Caenorhabditis elegans: one gene and its partners. The protein of the gene in region 2 purifies or fractionates together with the protein of the main gene of each other region. This does not show direct contact. Each region holds a gene or a part of one and is shown on either strand. Other genes may lie near its edges.

Region 1 (7,458 bases), on a different chromosome or scaffold from region 2:
AGTTTTTTGTCGGAAAATCTGGATAATTCATTTTTTAATGGCTAAAAAAAGACAATCAAAAAGATTCATCTTTATTCAAACTTTGTTCGGAAGCTTCTACCGTAATCTTCTCGGAAATGTTCAATGATTCCTGTTTCTTTTCCCACTCTCTCATTCTTCCACGTTATTTCACCAACTTTTGAGAGAACTTCTGCGTCGTTTGATCTGTCTCTCAAAAACTTTCAAAAAGTGACCGAAAACAACTGATACGACTTTGATAGACATTTAGCTTCTAGAAATCATATAAGACGAAGAGACGCAGAGAAAGTGTCTTTCGAAAATCGTCTCATTGAAGAGAGAGCATGAGACACAGACTATCTTTCATCAACGAGTTTCTTATCAGTGTAACTTTTGCAGAAAGAACAAAAGTTAGAGACTGTGTAGATCGTGGCGACGCAGTGTGCTGATCATTGAGGAAACTGATCGGAGGAAAAAACGGATTTTCAAAAGTCCTCGAAACATTTAGGTTTTCTTCGCTGTGTCATTTGGGAAGAACTAAATCTTCAAAAAAAACAATTTCAATTGAATAAAAAACATTAAAATTCAACAATTGGAAGAACATTTCAAGGGGAACAGAGGGAATTGATTAAAACAATTAAAAAACAACAACAACAAATGAGATAACAATGTGGAGGGAGCATTTTTTTGTCTAAAAATATTAATTTTCAATATCCAAGCTCTTCTTGATAGAGGTGAATGCACCAGCGATAGACTTTCCGATGATCTGAAATATTGCACTTAAATTCTGCCTGTTCAATTTGAAAACTTACGTGATGGCAGGTCGGGTTGATCTTTTTCAGTTGAATGAAAACTTCACCTTCAAACATCTTCTGAATGACATATTCGAGAGATTCGCGGAGTGCATCCACGTGTTTCTCGTCGTTTTGAATGCAAACTGTGACCTTGAGAATGAGTTGAAGGACAGTTCCGAATAGGCGTGGTTTGAGCTGAAAAAGATGAAAATTTACAAAAGTTATATACTTTGTTTGGTTTTTCCTTTTGGCATTGTCAAAGTCCAAAAAATACACATTTTTTTCGAAACCGAAAAATGAAGAAAGCAAAAAGTTGGTTTTTTTCGACAACGAATGAAATTTTAATTGTTTTAACCATAAAGCAATATACTTAAAATTTCGATGTTAATTTTTTGGAAACATGTTTATAATTTAAAAAAAAAACGTTTAAAGTTTTACGTAAAAAGTTTTTTTTGACCGTTCAACAATTTTTTGTTGATGTTTTTTGCTATTTTTTCAATAAAAAGTGAAAAATTAATTTTTCGCCAAAAAAAAAAACGAAAGAAGCGAAAAGTATTTAGCTCGGGTACCGTGATTCAGGTAATTTTTTTTAATATTTGAAAGCCATACCTCCGATTTATCAGAATCAACAACTTTCTGGAAGTAAGCAGCGGCCAATTTTCCAATTTTCTTGATAATCGCACCCTTGATATTCGTCTCCTGGAGCACTTGCTTCGTGAAAATCATCGCAATGGCTCCGAGAATTTCAGTCTAAATTTTACAGAAATTAAATAAAAATGTGTTTTTAATACGTACTCTTTTGAAAATTCGATTCTCCTCATCAAATCCGGCATCAATGAGCATTCCAAGTTGATCAACAAACAGCAATGGAAGATCGGCGATTGGCTGAATGACAAAATTCGATGGAACCTTTCCTTCCACATTCTTCAGATAATTTTCAAAAAGTGATTGGAATTCTGTTTTGACACCAGCTGACATCGATTTTCCATCGCGAGAACTAATCTTGAGCACAAAAGTGACACATCGTGCTACTGTATCAATAATCAGAATATTTGTAGTTGTCTGCGCCTCATCGAGAACTTGTTTCAGAAGTTGAAGAGCATCTTTCTCGGAAACATCAGTAAACTGAAATTATTTGTTAAGAACTATTTTTTCACAACTGAAATATGCTCTCACCTTCATCTTCACAACAATGTTTACAAGTTCTAACACTTTTTGAGCAACCTTGTCGTGAGTTTTTGCGTCGACTTTAGCCCATTTCAAGAGTGGAACGACAAGTTTCTGAAATAAATTTAAGTAATATTCTTAGAAACTCTTATATACCAATCTTACAATTTTGCTCTGTTCAGCAAGCTCCTTTGATGAAATTGCGATGAGCAAAAGGTCGGCAATTTTCATTTTCAGAGCTTCTACACTCTTTGCACTACGCTTCTTATCTTTTCCAGCTTTTGGAGCAATTGCTTTGAATGCGGCAGCGAGTCTCTCATCCATTTTCTGCATTGCTTCATCATCTAAATCATCCATTTCCACGTCACTGCTAGAATCTCTCGGAGCAGCATCTCCAAGAGCAGCATTCAATTTATCAAGAAGTTCTTGATCAACTGCCTAAAAATATTTATTGTAAAATTTACAAAACGAAAAATGAATGTACCTCATTTCCTTCATCATCATCCTCTTCCTCATCATCATCATCCGAATCACTTGCTTCATCGTCTCCATTTCCAGATGGAATTTCAGATTCATCAAATGGCATTCCTTCCTCGTCTTCCATATCCTCATCATCGTTTCCAGCCAATTCAGCCTCACTCATCATTGCAGTCTGAAATTTCAAAATAAAATTTTTCAGACATTTAGATTTTTCAAAAACCAATTTACCTCAACAATATGACACAAATCTTTAGATTCCAATGTAGGAATAGCATGAACAAAAGCGAATGCAGTTGGAGTACGATGGAACTTTTGCTCGCGGGACAGAATTGAAAGAAGAAGATCGACAAAGACCAGTGAGTTATTTCCATCTGCTTCGTTTTTGGCGATTGCCAAGATTTCTGAGCTATCCGAATCGTAGGCGGCAGAATCTACAGAGCTCGCGGCGATTCGAGACCACAAGCGGGTGACATACCATAGAATTTGAAGGGACCTGAAAAAAATTAACTTTGAAAATGAATTAATATTAAATTCTCACTTCTTGCGAAGTTTGGATTTTCCAATCGATTTCTCAGCTTTCTTTACTTCTTCTTCTCCTTGAACAGCAACAACAAGTTGACGGAGAACCTCTTCGTTTTTCTCAGAAATTTGAATCGATGCGAACTCTCCAGCACGAGTCTGGAATAATTTTTTACTTCAACTTCAAACAAACAATGAACAAACCTTGACATAGAAAAGTGAATCAATAATGCTGGTAACAACAGATTGACTGGTTTCAGTTGCCTTCTGCGACAAAAGAGCAGAGAGAACTGTGATTCGTGATTTTTCATCCCAGTTACTGAATGCAGAGACGATCTTCCGAACTTCATCTTGGTTGGAGAGATTTTCCTGAAAAATCTATATGCTGAAATTGAACCGTCAGTTCTTTTTCTACCTTAATCCACACAGAGATCTGCTTCTTTCCAAGATTTGAAAGTAGGGCGGTCGTAAGGCCGGTACCACAGGCCTTGTCCACATTTCCGCACTTTTCGAGCTCTTTCAGAGCAGTATAGGCTTCTTCATCACGAAGTTCAGAAAGTTTGGATTGGATGAATGCAGCGAAGTCATCCACCTGTAAAATGAAGATATTATTTTGAAATGTGTTTTTTTTTTGTTGTTAAAAGTAAATTTAATTTCCTAGCTAAGCCAGTATCGAAATTTTCTTTAGTTTAAAATCTTTGTTCGAATGTATACTTTTAATAATATTATTCAATATTTTCGTGTTAAAAAGTTCGAATGATAATCAATTTTCAACATTCCTGTCTCTCAAATATCGCTGCAATCTCTCATAAATCTAACATTCTAAATCTAACTCGTAATCCAAATAAAACAATATGTATGGATATAATGAGGTCGTCGTTAATGTGTCATCATCTTATAGAAAGAACTATCTGTATTACACCCAGAATCCCGTTACTTTACACAGTTCATTGTGGTATTCAATGAACAATGCTTCTTCTTTTTCTTCTTTCTTTCATCTATTTCTCATCTTTTTGTTGAACTACGTATTAGTTTTTCATCACTTTGGCAATACTAAATTTGGAACTCAAAATGACAAAATGCTCAATTATTATCGGAATTTTTCTGATCGCGGCAATCAATGGACAAGCGTCTAAAAGGCGGATTCAGTACGAATCGGTTTCACAGTTTTTGTTTCATAACTCTAAATTATGTAAGTTAGAAAATCAATTTAAATTCAAATTTAATCTGTATTATGTAATAACACAAAAGAATAATCTTATAGTATATTTCAGAAATGTTGTAAACGATTTCTGAATTAATTCTTCATAATTTACCAGCATACATTTTTAAGATACAAGAAATTAAATATTGTTCCAACACTTTTTTTACAGGCGGTGATCCATTTTCTGATGCTGTCTGGCTTCCTGTACTCGATTTATGTTCTATCGAGTGTGAAATAACATCCGAATATTGTGTGGAAAATGAGGAACTTACACAACAATGCAAGAAATGTATGTTTTCGATGTTTAGAAGAAAGCTTGAGTTTTAAAAAATCTTTTTTCAGTACCGGAAGATTGCCAGGCTCTTCTCCGAAAAGCAATCAAACAAATTCAGAGACATATTCGATCACAAAAGCCAGTTTACCTTTAGATAATTTCTATCTCACTAATTTTTGTAAATTTGAACAATAAAGACTCTTGAATATTACCTTTTTACTCATCAATCTGAATTGTCCTTTTCCACGTGTAGCGGTCTCCATTCGATTCAAAACTTCTTTAGTAAATACTACAACAATTGATTTCACATCGCCTCCAAAATCAAAGAATTGAGTGACAATCGTGAGAATTCTATCGAAAACTTTCGTCTCGTTGCTTGAAAGGGCCCATGGCTCGAGAACTTCTGAAAATGAGAATTTATAAAAAAAACTTTTCAAAAGTATAACTTACTCAGGTACATTTTATCAAAACCAGATGATTCAACTGATGCTTTGATGAGAAGTGGAAGAAATACTTGAACTGTGGCGAAGTCACAGCGCTGAAAATAAAGTATTTATAAAAATTTTAAAATAGAAAACTAACCTTTAAAGCAGCCAAAATTTTAGGATACTGATCATCAGAAAATTGAATAGATCCGTCTTTCTTTACAAACTTTGCGTATTTTGCAACCACTGTTGAATGAGAATTACGAAGGCGAAGTGCCAGGTAGACATTTTCCGGTGTGAACTGAGAGCTGAGACCTTCCAAATTCATTTCGATGGCTGGGGATACACTCTGAAATTTAAAAATTAATATAGATTTGTTTTTGTTCAAACAGTAAATTGATTTACCTTTTGGAAAACACTTTCTTTTGTCTTTGTAGCCAAACTGCATAGAAGGTTAATCTGTGAAAATGCCAAGCTTGGAGCAAAGTCTCTGATTTTCTTCGAATGCTCAACAATTTTTGTAGCTTCTGCTTCTTTGAGTTTTCTGGTTTGACAATATGTGACAAGAATAAGATAATGTCCAATTGCATGTCCGGTACCAACAGTCTGAATCGAAACATTTAGTACAAATAAAGGAACTTACAATCCCAACCTTTTCTGCCAGGTCCATCTTTTTATCTGCAACGGCCAATATTTTGTCGAGTTCCCATGATTCGCCTGCTTTTGTCATTAAAATAGTACCCAAAGCGGTTGTATATCCCAAACGAACAGCAGCACGAGCTGAAGCACATCCAGAAATAAGACGTTCAATCACATATGTGTTGAGCTCGTTATCGGATAATTCCTAAAAAAATAACACTTTAATTAGGCATTTATTTCAGCTACTTTTTTCCTACCTCTTGTTTGCTTGAAAGCTGTCTAACTGCTCCTTTTCTGACTAATGGATCGAGCTCAGCAAGCTTTGAAATAATATCGAGTAATTCACTTGGCGGTCTCATGCTTAAAACTTAAAATTATAATTAAAAAGAGAATAAATTGACGAGAGGATCATTCTCGTGAATTTTCCAGACCAAGTAAACTGTATTTTTCTATAAAACACAAAAAATAAATGTAATTTTAGTTTAATGAAAGAAAAAGAAATAGAAGTAAAATATTTTGTTCGTAAAATAAAATGTATTCTGTGCGCACGCACCACACCTGACGCGCAAACAAACAAGTGCGATTTTCGAATTTTATTCTTTTCCTGTTTGATTTAATTATTGTTTCAGCGTCAAATAATGTTTGAAAACACTAAAAAAGCATTGGAAACGTTTCGAACAGCTATCGAGTGTGTTAAATGGTAAGTTGTTGTACAAGATTTTGCCTCTTAAATAAAATTTCAGCAAAAAACCGAGGGGAGACTTGCAATATCTCGGATCATCTTGCAAACATGCTTATTGCTGGTAGGTATTGCAACCTAATAAATTGTCAATAACTTCAGTTTATGTTCAGGGAATGTATCGCCACATTTCAACAGAAACCGTCTGGAAAACGCTCTTCAGTGGCTCGACACATGTGTCCGAGTTGTGCTTTCCCACTAGACACATCCAAAATCACAGAAGCTCATATGCTGAAAACGTGCTTTGATACTTTGTCTGAACTAAACGACCTTTTACAGAAAGTAAGTCAATGGTGAAAAGCTCGAAAATTAAATTCTCATTTAGGTCGGAACAACATCTCTAACTCAAGCAGAGTTTGCCTGTACACAAAACATTTTTAACAAAGAAAAAACTCCAGCTGATGCCGTAGAGAAATTCCTGGAGACGCAAGCTCATATGCCAGACGAGATGGGACAACTTGGTGAAGAGGATGATGATTTGATGTGTAAAGATGAAAACCGGTAAGTCGAAAAAATCTGCGTTCGGGGGGAATCGAACCCCCGTCGAATGCTTGGAAGGCATCCATGCTGACCATTACACCACGAACGCGACATATCGGGGATATCTTTCCGAGAAAACGATTCCCGTCATGCTTCTTCTACAAACCTGATGCGGTCTATTTGGTGGCTTCAAGTAGAAATGTCTCTTCATTTAATAGCTGGTTTCCCATGCCGCGTTCGTGGTGTAATGGTCAGCATGGATGCCTTCCAAGCATTCGACGGGGGTTCGATTCCCCCCGAACGCAGAACTTTTTTTCATATTTTCCCAGTAAATTCAGGGAAAATTCAAACTCTCCAGAATTGGATATATTCCACGACTACAGCAAAGAAGCTTCTCCGTGAGTTTGTTACATTGCTTCAATTAATTGAATTTTATTTACTTTTAGAACGCGTAATTCGACAAAACGCCCTTCAACTGTCAGTGTTCATGAGAGAAAACCCAAAAGGTCATCGATACTGAAAACTTCCGTCAAAAATGAACCGGCTGCGCCTGTAGTTGATCTTTTTGCATCGCAAGTTCCGCAGAGAACTCATCAAAATGATTTACTGACGCCGTTTATTGAGGTATGACAATTTCACTTTAAAGACGCTTCAGAACTTTAACGGAAATTCTTCAGCGTCGCTCAACTGCTCCAGCAGCAACTGGTGTTGCAACGTATGCTCAAGCTTTCGGAAGTAGC
Region 2 (4,922 bases):
TTAAAATAATTGAAAAAAAAAGTATTTTTGTTTCAGAATAACAACCCGACTTACAAACGCAACTTATTGAGTCTCAAAAACCTGGTTCTGGTGAAATTCAATCAAGATCATATGGTTGTACCAAAGGATTCATCTGTGAGTGGTTTTTTTTGTTTTGCAGTTTCCGAAAGTAGACTATAGTCGCCTATAGGCGAGGGTCGCCAAAAGCTTGTTAATGCAGGCCGGAGTTTTCCCGAGTATTCTCATTCTAATGGGTACAAAGAGCCACACAGGCAACAGACATTTTGTACCACCTGTCACGGTTCTCACGCTGAAATATTTTATAAAGTCTCAATAATTTATTCCAGTGGTTCGGGTTCTACAAAGACGGTGATATTGACACAATTCTCCCAATGAACGAAACCGACCTGTACAAAGAGGATCGTATTGGATTGAAGAAGCTTCATGAGAGTGGACGAATCCATTTTATGGACGTGGATGGAGATCACTTGCAAATTCCAAGAAGTGTGCTTGTCAACGATATTATCAAAAAATATTTTATGTGAACTTGTTTGATTTTCAAAAAGAAACAACTCGTATTGTAAAACTCGTACGTAAAAATGAATTATGAAATTATCATGACTGGTTGTGTGAGCATTTTCTTGATTTGGGTTCCCATCATTTTCTAAAACATCTCGAAAAAATACGGCTCCGAGATTTCGGCATGAAAGATGTCAAAAAGCCAGAAGAGCTCCTTGATCTTTGATTTCTCACGAGAGATTCTCTAAAAATAGGGGGAAAATCAGAAAACTTAAAAAAAAATTTGGCAAACCTTCATGGATTTGACCAGTTTCATAAGAATCAGAAGCCGATGAGAATACATTTTGATATCCGTCCGATTTGTATAATAAACGTGCATTTGGTCAGCAATTTCTGCTCGCATTTGTTCGCAAGCTTCTCGTGTTTCATGAGAAAGATCACCTTCTAAAATTAAAGTTAATAAAAATTTGATTGATGTTTTTTTTTTTTACCTTCAAGTCCAATAAGGTGAACCATACAAAAAACGACTTCTTCCGTAGTTGGCTTGAGATCAAGAAGTGGCCTTGCAACTTCATCTATGTAACGGTGTAGGAAGGGTTCGAATAGTCTGAAAATTACAAAAATACAAATATAAAAATGTTCAAAGATTTTTCATCATTATATCTTTCTCGACATAGCGGCAAAAATTGTTTTGTTGAATTTTCAGTATTTCAATTAATTTTATAGTAAAGAAAATGCTGTATCAAAATGTGATCCTAAAACCAACGCAACTTTGAGTAGGCTTTTCAGAACATTGACAAATTTCAATCAGCGAATTGTGGGCATTTCAAAGTTTTTGAAACAGAAAACTCACTTGTTGAAATATTGATTCGTGAGATCAGTTATCGAGGCAAAGTCAATATGAGTTGATTCCAATTTCATTGCGAGATCATCATTGATAAGTATATACTGAAAAACAGTTGATATTTTTAAAAATAATTAAAAACTATTCTCACTCCTCCTCGAATGACTCCTTCTTCAAAAATCTTGACAGACATTTCTAGGCGCTCAAATGTTCTAACGACATTCCAAGAAGATCGGAAGAGCTGCATTTTTTGATCCATGGGTAGAGACATTAAAGATTTTGAAGAGGAAAACCAACAAGAGTACATATAGATTCGATCATTGAGCCAATCAATAGCAGATTTCAGCTCGACTTTGTCAAGAAAAGAGATTTGACTTTGAGCTTTTTGATTTTTCCTAAACTTTTTCAATGCAGACGTCAAAGTAGTCAGTTCACAATCGTCGCCTTTTGTTTTATGCTGAACATAAAATAACAAAATTTTCACTTTCAATGTTTTTCGCTTCAACTTACCGAAAATGACGTTTCAATTTTCTTCACCAAGTCATTAAAACTGATAACCATGTTCGGCTTATCCGGTGTTTTTGGCGAGAAGGTGAACAAAAAGTTCGGATCAATTCCAGGTGACTCCACCGAGTTCTTCCGGCTCAAGTTGGTCGGGCTGTAATCAGATTGAGCTGGGCTTCCATTTGGCGTAGAGAATTCGTCCTGAAATGTAGTAAATAAAATAATTGTTTTTAATTTAAAAAACAAAACTCACACTTCCACTATCCTCCATCAAACCGCGAAACGAGTACGTTGGGTCATAGTCCAATTGAACTTCTGAAAAATGAGTATATTTTACTAGAAAAAGAAGAGAAAAAAAGAAGAGAAAAATAATTGGACTCTGTAAAATTTGCAGAAAAAAACGCTTTTGGTTAAATTCCAAAAGAATGGCAGCAAAATTTTTGACAGTAATTGAAATTTTATTTGTGTTTTGGAAAGGATTTAGTTATTTCACCACTAGCAAAAATGAGTGGTGATTTTTAGCAATTTTCAAAATTCAACATTATGTAAAAAAAGGAAATAGGGCACTTTTGTATTTAATGCCCTCATTTTGAAATTATTTAAGCTATAAAAAAAACCTTTGGAATATTTTTGTAATTTTCGGACTTCGGAAAAAATCCTTTCTAAGCCTAAAGAGTAAAAATCAAACATAGAGATGATCTAGAAATTTTGTTAGGATTTTTTATTTTTCAGAAAAAATTATTTTTCTGCGTATTCCACAAAACCTATTCACATGAAGTTTTTGAAAATTTGTCAAACCAATTTTCGCAACAATTTTTCACAAAAACTTTTGATGTAAAATTTTTTGATGTGCACGATATGCACTTGAAAATCTTGCAAGTTTTTATTTTTTTGGAAAAAAAAACATACTCTCTTCATTCATCCCGATTGCTTTGCACTTTGTCAGACGACACTGCCGGCAGACATATCTATAAACAAAACGTGAATTTTCTGATTTTGAAGACTATAGTAACTCACCTTCCACGACCATCAATATTGCATTTTGAATTCCCCTGCTTACATTTATACTGTAATTTCAGTACAGTAGCCCTTCGAAAGAATGCGGCGCACGCTCGGCAGGTGAGTGCACCGAAATGCATTCCATTTGAAGCTTTTTTGCAAACCAAGCATGACTTGTCAGGTACCATTTTTAGATTCTGAGAAGGAAAAAAAGTGTGATCATCATTTTGTAATATGCAAATTGGGTGTTGTCATTCTAAGAGATCTCTACCAGATATGTTATTAGAGAAATGAAAAACGTAGAGAGGAGAGGAAAAGATCAAGTGACCACCGAAAAGGGTTTATATTTGAGAAAAAAAAAGAGGGAAACTTGAAGGAAAAATGAACGTACCTACATGTCAAATTTTGAGACTGAAAACCCAGCCTCAAATCACAAAGTTATCACAGCAATTTTTTGGTACTTTTCTTCACATGTAAGGCAAGATCAGAAGAGAGACATTTTCGGCTGGGGGAAGACGTCATGTCGGCATGTTCTCTGATCGTTACGCTGGTCGAAGACGTAGGAATCTCAGACAAACAATTAAAATCTCACCCCCTTCCGAAAAGAGATAGTCTAGTTGTAGTGGAAGGAAAAGCATAATGACAATTATCAGGATGAAGTGGTGAATTTGGCTAACCGTATTTTCAGAAAACTTTAGCTGGAGTTGTATGAAACGTTTTAAAAATGTGCCTAGGGATACTATAGATACTGAAAGTTCTTAAAATAGAAAACTCAGAAATTTCATATTCGATCTGATGATAAAAGATTTTGAATTTACTTTCCACTTGAAAAGACCACCTCAAAAATTTGTTTCAAAATGTTTTTATGTTCGATGAACCAAAAAGGAAAAAAGTCAGAAAAAAAAGATTTTCGGAATGTGAGAATTTTGGGTTTTCTTGAATTTTATAGGAAAACAATCCCCTTCTGATTACTGCTACATACATTGTACAATTTTTTTAAAAGTGCACACATTGGTACATGATTTGTGATAGAAAATTTTAAGTCAAAATTGTAACTTCGATGGAATTGCGGAAAATCAGAAACAAAAACATTTTAGAATTGCTAGATTGATAGTGACCGATTTAGAATTTTGGATAAAATACGTTGAGCTACTTTATATAGAGGCAACCGATCTTGTCCATCTAATTCGAAACATGTATGTCTTTTGTCGTTTCTATGTTCACATCTGTCTGCGTCTCTTCATAAATTGTCAATCTCTAGCTGTCAATTGCTACTCGGTCTACGAGCATCGATTCACACGCGACCTGTGTTCGCCGAATTGGACTTCCGCAAAACTTTCAAAAGACTAATGTCATCTGATTAGTCTGCGTCTCCGATAGACTGTCATCTGCAGGTAGCCGTCCACCATCCTTGCATCTTCATTGCCAGCCTCGAACCTTTGCCAAACGCTGCAAACTTTTGACAGATCCCGCCTCCCGACCCGCAAGATGATTCGTTAATGCGTTTGGGCCCGATGTCTTATCGTCGCCCTCTACAACACTTGACTCATGAAATAGGACATGGAGACCAGAAAAAGAGAAAAATATTGTGTCTGTTGACGGGGAAAGTTGTTCATTTTTAGGGCATATAACTGTATATATGTTTCAAAAGTTCCTGATCTAGACTGATTCAATTGGGAACAATCATTTTTCTATTCATTTAGATCAGTTGATAGACATCAGATATGTTTTCTCCGATTTTCTTACCCGATGAGTAATAAATTTGCCAAATATGTAGTTCGCATATTTTCCGAGATATCATGATATTTTGTCAATTTGCAAAAGTAGCATCAAAGTAACAACTAGTACAACAATGTTATTCATATAAATTCAATTCACCGCTTTATTAAGTATGCATGTCAAGGAAAACTATTCCCTCAAGTTAAAAAAAAATAAATACAAATAAGTTTAGTCCTATAGTACATAAACTGAAGACTAATTTCAAGTTAACAAGTCTACCATATTTTCCCTACTGGATTTGTACCCCAATTGCTTTACTTTGACGGCTCATATCTCG
Region 3 (6,523 bases), on a different chromosome or scaffold from region 2:
AGATTCTTGACAATGAGTAAATCGATAAAAACCGCTGAAAATACATACAAAAAAGGCGCTTAGTGCGCGTGTGTGCAAAAATGCTCTATAGACAAAAAATGCGAGAAAATATTTCTTTTCAAAAGAGAAAAGTAAATACTTTTTTCATAAACTTTCACTGCAATGGTAAATAAACTAGTCACTAAAAGGAAATGAAATAAGTTTTTTCAATAGCTAATCACTCTACCAATTTTTTTCAAAACTTTTTGCGAATATATAGCTTTTAATAACTTTTAATAATAAGGAAATAGTAAAAGATCGATAAAAATCCAGTTCGGCAAAACGTGTTGTTGAAACGATTGATTGTGTAATATAAGACCACATTGAATTGTATACAAATTGTAAATTATTGATTTTTGTGGAAATGTAAACATTGTACTACATTTGTTACATGAAACTTTTTTTGGTCTCGCGTAACAAATACTATACATTAATCCTATAATTCGAAAAAAATAAATCATACTTCCGAATCAAACGGCATTGCGAAAGCGTCAGCAAGAAAAATAGAAATGAATCTCATTCATTTTCAGAAAAAAATAATAACGATCAACGTGAAACGAGAGAAGAAATGAGACAATGACGCGATTTAGAAAAAAAAATTAATTCGATAAAATGAAAATAGAGGTATTTAAGTAAGCAATCGAAAGATGAATAACTCCATAGTGACAGACTTTTCTTGAATTTACAATCAAAAGGCAAAAGATAAGTGAATAAAAAGCAATCTATATTCCAAACCGTGAACGTTTATATATGACAAAAATGCAGGCTTCTAGTGAAGTTTTGATTGATTTGATGAAAATCACTCTGATCAAGCAGCCGACATTAATTGTCAGATTATTCCCATTTAAATGGAGGTAAATAGTACAGAAAACATTGAGTATCGAATCAAATGGGGAACGGGGGTGATAATTATGAGATGTAAAAGATGGGAAACAACTGAAAGAATAATAGGAAATGAAAACAATAATAGCACATGATGATTTCACAGAAAACTCATTGATCTTTTTCATCTACTGCATCGCTAATCTGACGTTCGATCAATGCAGCCATATCCTCGAACTCATCGTCATCATCAGATTCCGGTACTTCCTCATCTTCATTGTCTTCGTCATCTTCTTCTTCATCTATATTAGCTGGTGCGTGGCCTTTCTGTAAAAGTCTTTTTTTTTCAAAACACTTTTGATCTCCCAAGCAGGAATAATGATTCACGTGTTTCTTTGAATTTTTGTTTAATATCGATAAAATGTCGTATTTTTCGATAAATTCTAGACACTGGAACGATTTGGATTGATATTTTTAAGCTCAAGAAGCCAAAATTTAACTTTTTTCAAAAAATTCACTACTATTAATTTTAGCCACTATAAATTCAAAACTTTCCGTTTTATTTTCAATTTTTTATACTTGCCGCCCTTTTTACCTCATCATCAACATCAAATACTGCATCATCCTCGTTTTCTGGAACAATTCGACCTTTTTTGCGTGAATCTGACAAAAGTGCTTTGTACGACATAGGGGTATCGTCATCCTCATTATCAGAATCTGATTCCTGAAATAAATATTATTGGAATAAATTATTTTCAAGTTTCTTACCTCTTCCTCGTCCTCCATTTCAGGACAATGCTTTCTTTTCTGTCCCCTTGATGTAGAATCTGTCTCGTTTTCCAAAGCATCTCCTGATTGATTCTCAACAGATCCATTCTGCTCAACATCATCCATTTCTTCTTCATTTTTCTCTTGTTTCTCTTCTAAATTTTCATCTCCCTTATCTTCTCCAACATCATTCCCATCATCATCCTCATCCTCATTGTCTCCATCGTCTTCATCATCCGATAGAGCTTCATCTACTTCATTATTCATATCAGCTAACGCGGCTTTCCCAATTGTGTCCATATTTGCCAAATCATTGACATACTTTGATCCAAGTGGACGTCCAACTGGAGGAGTACTTTCTTTTGTTAGTTGAAACAGATTTTCATCTGCTTTAAGCCACTTTTCGACACAAGCATATACCCATTGAACTGTGACCACAAACTTATTGAGACGATTGGCTTGATAAACTTTTCTGAAAATAAAAGAATTTTAAAATGCTAAAATGATAAAACTAACTGTGTTCCATATCTTGCTCCAACAACATGAGTAACATCATCAGTCACATCTGGTACAATAACTGCTCCAAATTGAGTACACAAACGATAAATATCAGTTCTTTCAAGCTTTTCACCCATTGGTACGATTCCCGAAAAAACAATGACACATCCATCAAGAACTTTGTGTCGTTCCTCTTTGATCACTTCCTGAAAATCAACTTCTAGAAGTCCAAAAGACTTAAATATTCAACTTAGAATAATAATTCAATAACTAAATATTTAAAATGAAAATTTACCTTTACATCAAGCAACACTTCCTCGGATCCTCTTAAATCGTGCTTTTCATAATATTTATCATGAATATTCGTTAAAACTCGCTCAATTTCTTCAAGAACCTTATCCTCATGAGCATCATCTTCAATTTGAACTGGCATTTGTTCTTTTGAGTTTTTTGGAGCATTAATGTCGCCGACTTCTTTGAAGAATCGATAAGGTTTGATTTGAATAAGTGCTTCAGAATACATCCAGACATCTGATCGATCATCAATAATCACTACAAGATTGTCGCCACATGGGAATAGAGCCTGAATAAAAATTGTTGTGTTTAACACTTATTCTATGATGTTAAAAAAAAACCAAATTTCATGGTAACACTTTTTAAAAATTTGAAATTTTCATTAACAGTCGAAAAATTGATGAAAACTCATTTTTCATTCATCACAATTCTGATCGATTAATATTTTCTACGAGTTTCATGTTTTCAGGGCTGAAGATTTCTTGTTTTTCGCTTTAAAAAAAATGGTGTTTTTTTTTGACAAAAAATGTACTTTCCGTTTTTTTATATTAAAGAGCAAAAAAACGAAGAATTTGTAAAAAACTTTTAAATGACTTTAAAATTATAGTTTTTAGTTTTTCGCTTTTTTCGTGATTTTTGCGAATTTTGGGCAAACTCCATTGGAGTTTGAAATTATTTTTATTTTTAATTTTTAAAAATTATACCTTCAAATTATTGGTCTTGTGTTGAGCCGAGAATAGTTCATCTCGAGACAAAATGCGTTGTTCAAAGAGTCGAGCATCTGGATCAAGAATCTGAGCAATACGATGAGCATATTGACGTTGTCCATAGGTAACAATGTGCATTTCATACATATTTGACATTTTATTCAAGAATTCTGTTGTATGTGGTCGGAGTTTAGTGGTATAAACACGAGAGTGAAGGTTATATTTGGTGATGTCTTTGTGCTGAAATTTATAGAAAATATATGAGTATTCCTATCAAGAGTGACAATTTTTCGATAATTTTAGAAAATCAAAAAACACAATTTTTTTGTACCAAAATTAAATTAGAAAAAAGGTTTCTCGGAAAATAATTTAAAGTTTTTGTCGATTTTTCTTATTACGATAAGAAAATTATGCTTTTCTAACTTTATCATTTACATAGAAGCTCGATGAGAAATTTTTTTTGAAATCTTTATTAATTTTCTGAAAAGTGTTTTTTTTTTCGAAAAATGGCTTTACATTTTGGCCATTTTTTTTCTAGAAGAAAATTATATGGTTGTTTGAAATTATTTGTTTTCATCGACACGACCAAAATTCGTTAAATTTGTGTTTTAATTTTTTGCTAATTTTCGGAACATTTTTTTTCAATTTTTCAGTTTTCTCTGAGAAAAACTGAAAAAAAACTTTTTTTTCGTCAAAACTATTGATTCTTACATTTTCAGTATCCACAGTCATTGGTTTGTCGGAAGTGTGAATAATTGTCTGATCCAAATCAACAAGCAATACGAGTTTTCTATTGGTGATCAGATTGTTTTCATCGGCTGATCCAATCTCTTTTGCTAGCTGAAAAAAAAGTTTTTTATCGAAATATTATTTGCCTAGTAGGCGAATTTTTGAGCCAAAAATGCGGTTCACGGTCTCAACACGACAATTTTTGATAAATGCAAAAATATGTTCGTCTTTAAAAAGAACTGTAATATTATGGGATTTTCATGAAGTTTTCTATTTTTCTCAAAATCGTATACTTTACTTAAAAATAGTTTAAACTTGCTTTATTTTAAAGTTTTAATTAACTTTCGAAAAACGATGAAAATTCTGCATTAGCTATTTAAAGGCGCACAACGTTTTGCGAGACCGGTTACCGTATTTTTATTGAAAAAATCGCCGCATCCGGGTAATAAAAATGATGCTAACCGTATCCGACACAATAAGTTCTGGAACATGATGAATCATAGATACATTAGCCGTTGATTGTTCCTTTCTCTGACCGGCTCGTCCTCCCTTTTCACGTAGATCTTTACCACATGTTGCACACATATCTTTGATAACAATTGCATGAGTACATTCGGATACTGTAGCAATCACTTGACCCTGAAAATGAAAACAGTTTCAATTGAATAAATAATTTCAATTTACCTTATTCAATACGATTCCTGGTTTAAGACCTTTTCCAAAAGTAACTACACCCTCACATGGTGTCTTTATCTTTCCCGCCACTTTTCCGTTGATTTTGAATTCTATCAGAACGTGATCTTTCAATACAAAACTTCCTTCACTGGCCTTTTTCAGGCCAGCTGTGCACTCGGCATCGTTTCCTTCAAATTTAATATCCATCTGGAAAAGAATATTTATATCTTTTCAATTAAGATATCAAATTCGACTGTTATTGAATTATTAAATGTTATTTAAAAGTAAAATTTTTCAACAATTTTGTGTTCATCATCTAAAATACATATGTACGCATTCTCTCCAAAACTTTTTTTTCAATTTTCGATTTTATTACCAAAAGGTTAATTTCGGCGCTTTTTTTGAAATCGAATCTGTAAAATTAGCCATTCTGATATTATTTGCGGCAAATTCAGGACCGAGAAATTTTGGGATAAAAATAAGAAAAAAGGTAAAAATAGAGTAAAAATAAAACGGAATTTTTATTCCAACAGGAACAAGAAAAGTGAAAAAAAAACAGAATAATTCCACAGATGGGACGAAAAATGAATAAAAATGGAAGCGTTTTTAGAAAAAAAAAATAATGGTGAAAAAAGAGAATCAAAGTCACAGTAGATGTGGTTCCCTCTAAGAAGAACTAGAAAAATAGGGGGGAATATGAGAAAAACGAATAATAGGATGGAACATAATTAATAACTCAAATATAGATACAAAAATGATTACAAAAGATCAAATTTAATCTTGGTACTCTTGTGTTTGACATCTACACTCTCCTTTGGAACTTTTCGAGACGAAGATTTCTGAAATATCTAAGATTAAAATTCTTCAAAAACAACAAAAATTACCTTCTCCTTTTCCCCAATGCTCTCCACGTCAGTTTCGTCCTTCTTCCGGCGATCCCGCTTCGACCGCTAAAATTTTTAAATTATATATTTTTTGATTAATTGAATTTTAGTGAAATATTTGTGAATAAAACGTACTTCTTCATCTTCTTGTTCCTTGGTTGATGATGAGGACGAGTATTGACGAACTCTGATGTTTGTCGTTGGTTTGCTCGAAGCAACAGTAAACGAGACAGGTTTTCGTTCAAGTGATGGAGCAGTAGTAGTTCTAGAGCTTGAAGAAGTGGATGAGTCAGCTTTCTGCATACGCTCATGAACCGATTTTCGTGGTTTCTCAGACTCTTTCTCAACGATTTTCCGCTTCTCTTTGCGATCCTTCTCGTGTTCCTTTTCCACTTCCTTCTCGCGTTGTTTCTCTTTTTCATTATCCCGATCACTCTCCTTTCTTTTACTCTTCTCCTTTTCATAGTCATCCTTCCTGCGTTCCCTGTCCCGTTCATAATCTTTCCGATCGTCACGCTTCTTGTCTTCACGCTTCACCTTTGTCTTGGGGGCCTGCAATTTCTATAAAAATTTGTTCATTTTTCCTAAACCCGGAAGATGATTTCTGATTGCTAAATTTTTCCTCAAAACAATCAACAATTAAAACAACTAATCTAAAAATAAGAATAAACCAAAACTTACATCACTGTCATATGCCTCGGTCTCTCGATCTCGCTTTCTCTCTTTCTTTCTATCTTGCTCATCAATTTTTTGAGAATCTCTTTCATGCCGACGTTCCTTACGATCATCCTCATCATCATGTCTACGGTCTTTCCTGTCTCTCCGATCGGATTCCTTAGGAAGCTCCTCTTTTCTATCCTCGAAGATGTCCTCTTCATCCTCATTCCATTTTCCTTTCTTCTTTTCTTTTTTGTCAGCAAAATTTTTGTCCAACTCCACTTTGTCCTCATCATCTAGAGATCTTGGCTCTTTTCTATTAGAATCCTCATCTTTATCATCCTGATACTTTCTTTCCTTCTTTTTTTCTTTCTTTTCGGTATCAAGATCATCCTCATCCTCATCTCTCTTCTCCTTCTTTGACTTTTTCTCTTTTTTGTGCTTCTTGTG

What was found. Proteins that work in one complex are often made in the same cells at the same time.
Region 1: the proteins of nhr-37 (region 2) and K04C2.2 fractionate together in Caenorhabditis elegans (co-fractionation; one large-scale study listed by BioGRID). This does not show direct contact.
Region 3: the proteins of nhr-37 (region 2) and fcp-1 fractionate together in Caenorhabditis elegans (co-fractionation; one large-scale study listed by BioGRID). This does not show direct contact.

What each region holds. Positions count from the first base shown.
Region 1 is NC_003281.10:6,888,175-6,895,632, reverse strand, and holds K04C2.2 (DNA polymerase V), read right to left. Parts: upstream 5,860-7,458; 5' UTR 5,859-5,859; coding exon 5,757-5,858; intron 5,705-5,756; coding exon 5,513-5,704; intron 5,467-5,512; coding exon 5,266-5,466; intron 5,210-5,265; coding exon 5,018-5,209; intron 4,974-5,017; coding exon 4,886-4,973; intron 4,839-4,885; coding exon 4,648-4,838; intron 4,643-4,647; exon of another isoform or gene 4,590-4,642; coding exon of another isoform or gene 4,504-4,589; intron 4,451-4,503; coding exon of another isoform or gene 4,331-4,450; intron 4,150-4,330; coding exon of another isoform or gene 4,029-4,149; exon of another isoform or gene 3,973-4,028; intron 3,550-3,972; coding exon 3,373-3,549; intron 3,327-3,372; coding exon 3,162-3,326; intron 3,117-3,161; coding exon 2,977-3,116; intron 2,932-2,976; coding exon 2,667-2,931; intron 2,611-2,666; coding exon 2,443-2,610; intron 2,397-2,442; coding exon 2,124-2,396; intron 2,073-2,123; coding exon 1,968-2,072; intron 1,917-1,967; coding exon 1,587-1,916; intron 1,542-1,586; coding exon 1,401-1,541; intron 987-1,400; and 5 more. Other genes in the region: K04C2.5 (INSulin related), read left to right, coding at 4,029-4,149, 4,331-4,450, 4,504-4,589; brd-1 (BRCA1-associated RING domain protein 1), read left to right, coding at 6,138-6,199, 6,243-6,302, 6,352-6,520, 6,564-6,739, 7,057-7,116, 7,165-7,342, 7,396-7,458.
Region 2 is NC_003283.11:6,620,400-6,625,321, reverse strand, and holds nhr-37 (Nuclear Hormone Receptor family), read right to left. Parts: upstream 3,129-4,922; 5' UTR 3,055-3,128; coding exon 2,885-3,054; intron 2,836-2,884; coding exon 2,777-2,835; intron 2,183-2,776; coding exon 2,121-2,182; intron 2,069-2,120; coding exon 1,874-2,068; exon of another isoform or gene 1,867-1,873; intron 1,821-1,866; coding exon 1,515-1,820; intron 1,468-1,514; coding exon 1,373-1,467; intron 1,127-1,372; coding exon 1,011-1,126; intron 964-1,010; coding exon 812-963; intron 764-811; coding exon 665-763; 3' UTR 546-664; downstream 1-545. Other genes in the region: ppt-1 (Palmitoyl-protein thioesterase 1), read left to right, coding at 37-135, 348-545.
Region 3 is NC_003279.8:9,003,970-9,010,492, forward strand, and holds fcp-1 (RNA polymerase II subunit A C-terminal domain phosphatase), read right to left. Parts: upstream 4,740-6,523; coding exon 4,542-4,739; intron 4,497-4,541; coding exon 4,320-4,496; intron 3,969-4,319; coding exon 3,840-3,968; intron 3,369-3,839; coding exon 3,126-3,368; intron 2,711-3,125; coding exon 2,423-2,710; intron 2,334-2,422; coding exon 2,146-2,333; intron 2,102-2,145; coding exon 1,630-2,101; intron 1,586-1,629; coding exon 1,457-1,585; intron 1,189-1,456; coding exon 1,033-1,188; 3' UTR 544-1,032; downstream 1-543. Other genes in the region: rbpl-1 (E3 ubiquitin-protein ligase RBBP6), read right to left, coding at 5,291-5,371, 5,417-5,482, 5,552-5,977, 6,098-6,523. UniProt on the Caenorhabditis elegans protein: During the late stages of oogenesis, dephosphorylates 'Ser-5' of the heptad repeats YSPTSPS in the C-terminal domain of the largest RNA polymerase II subunit ama-1.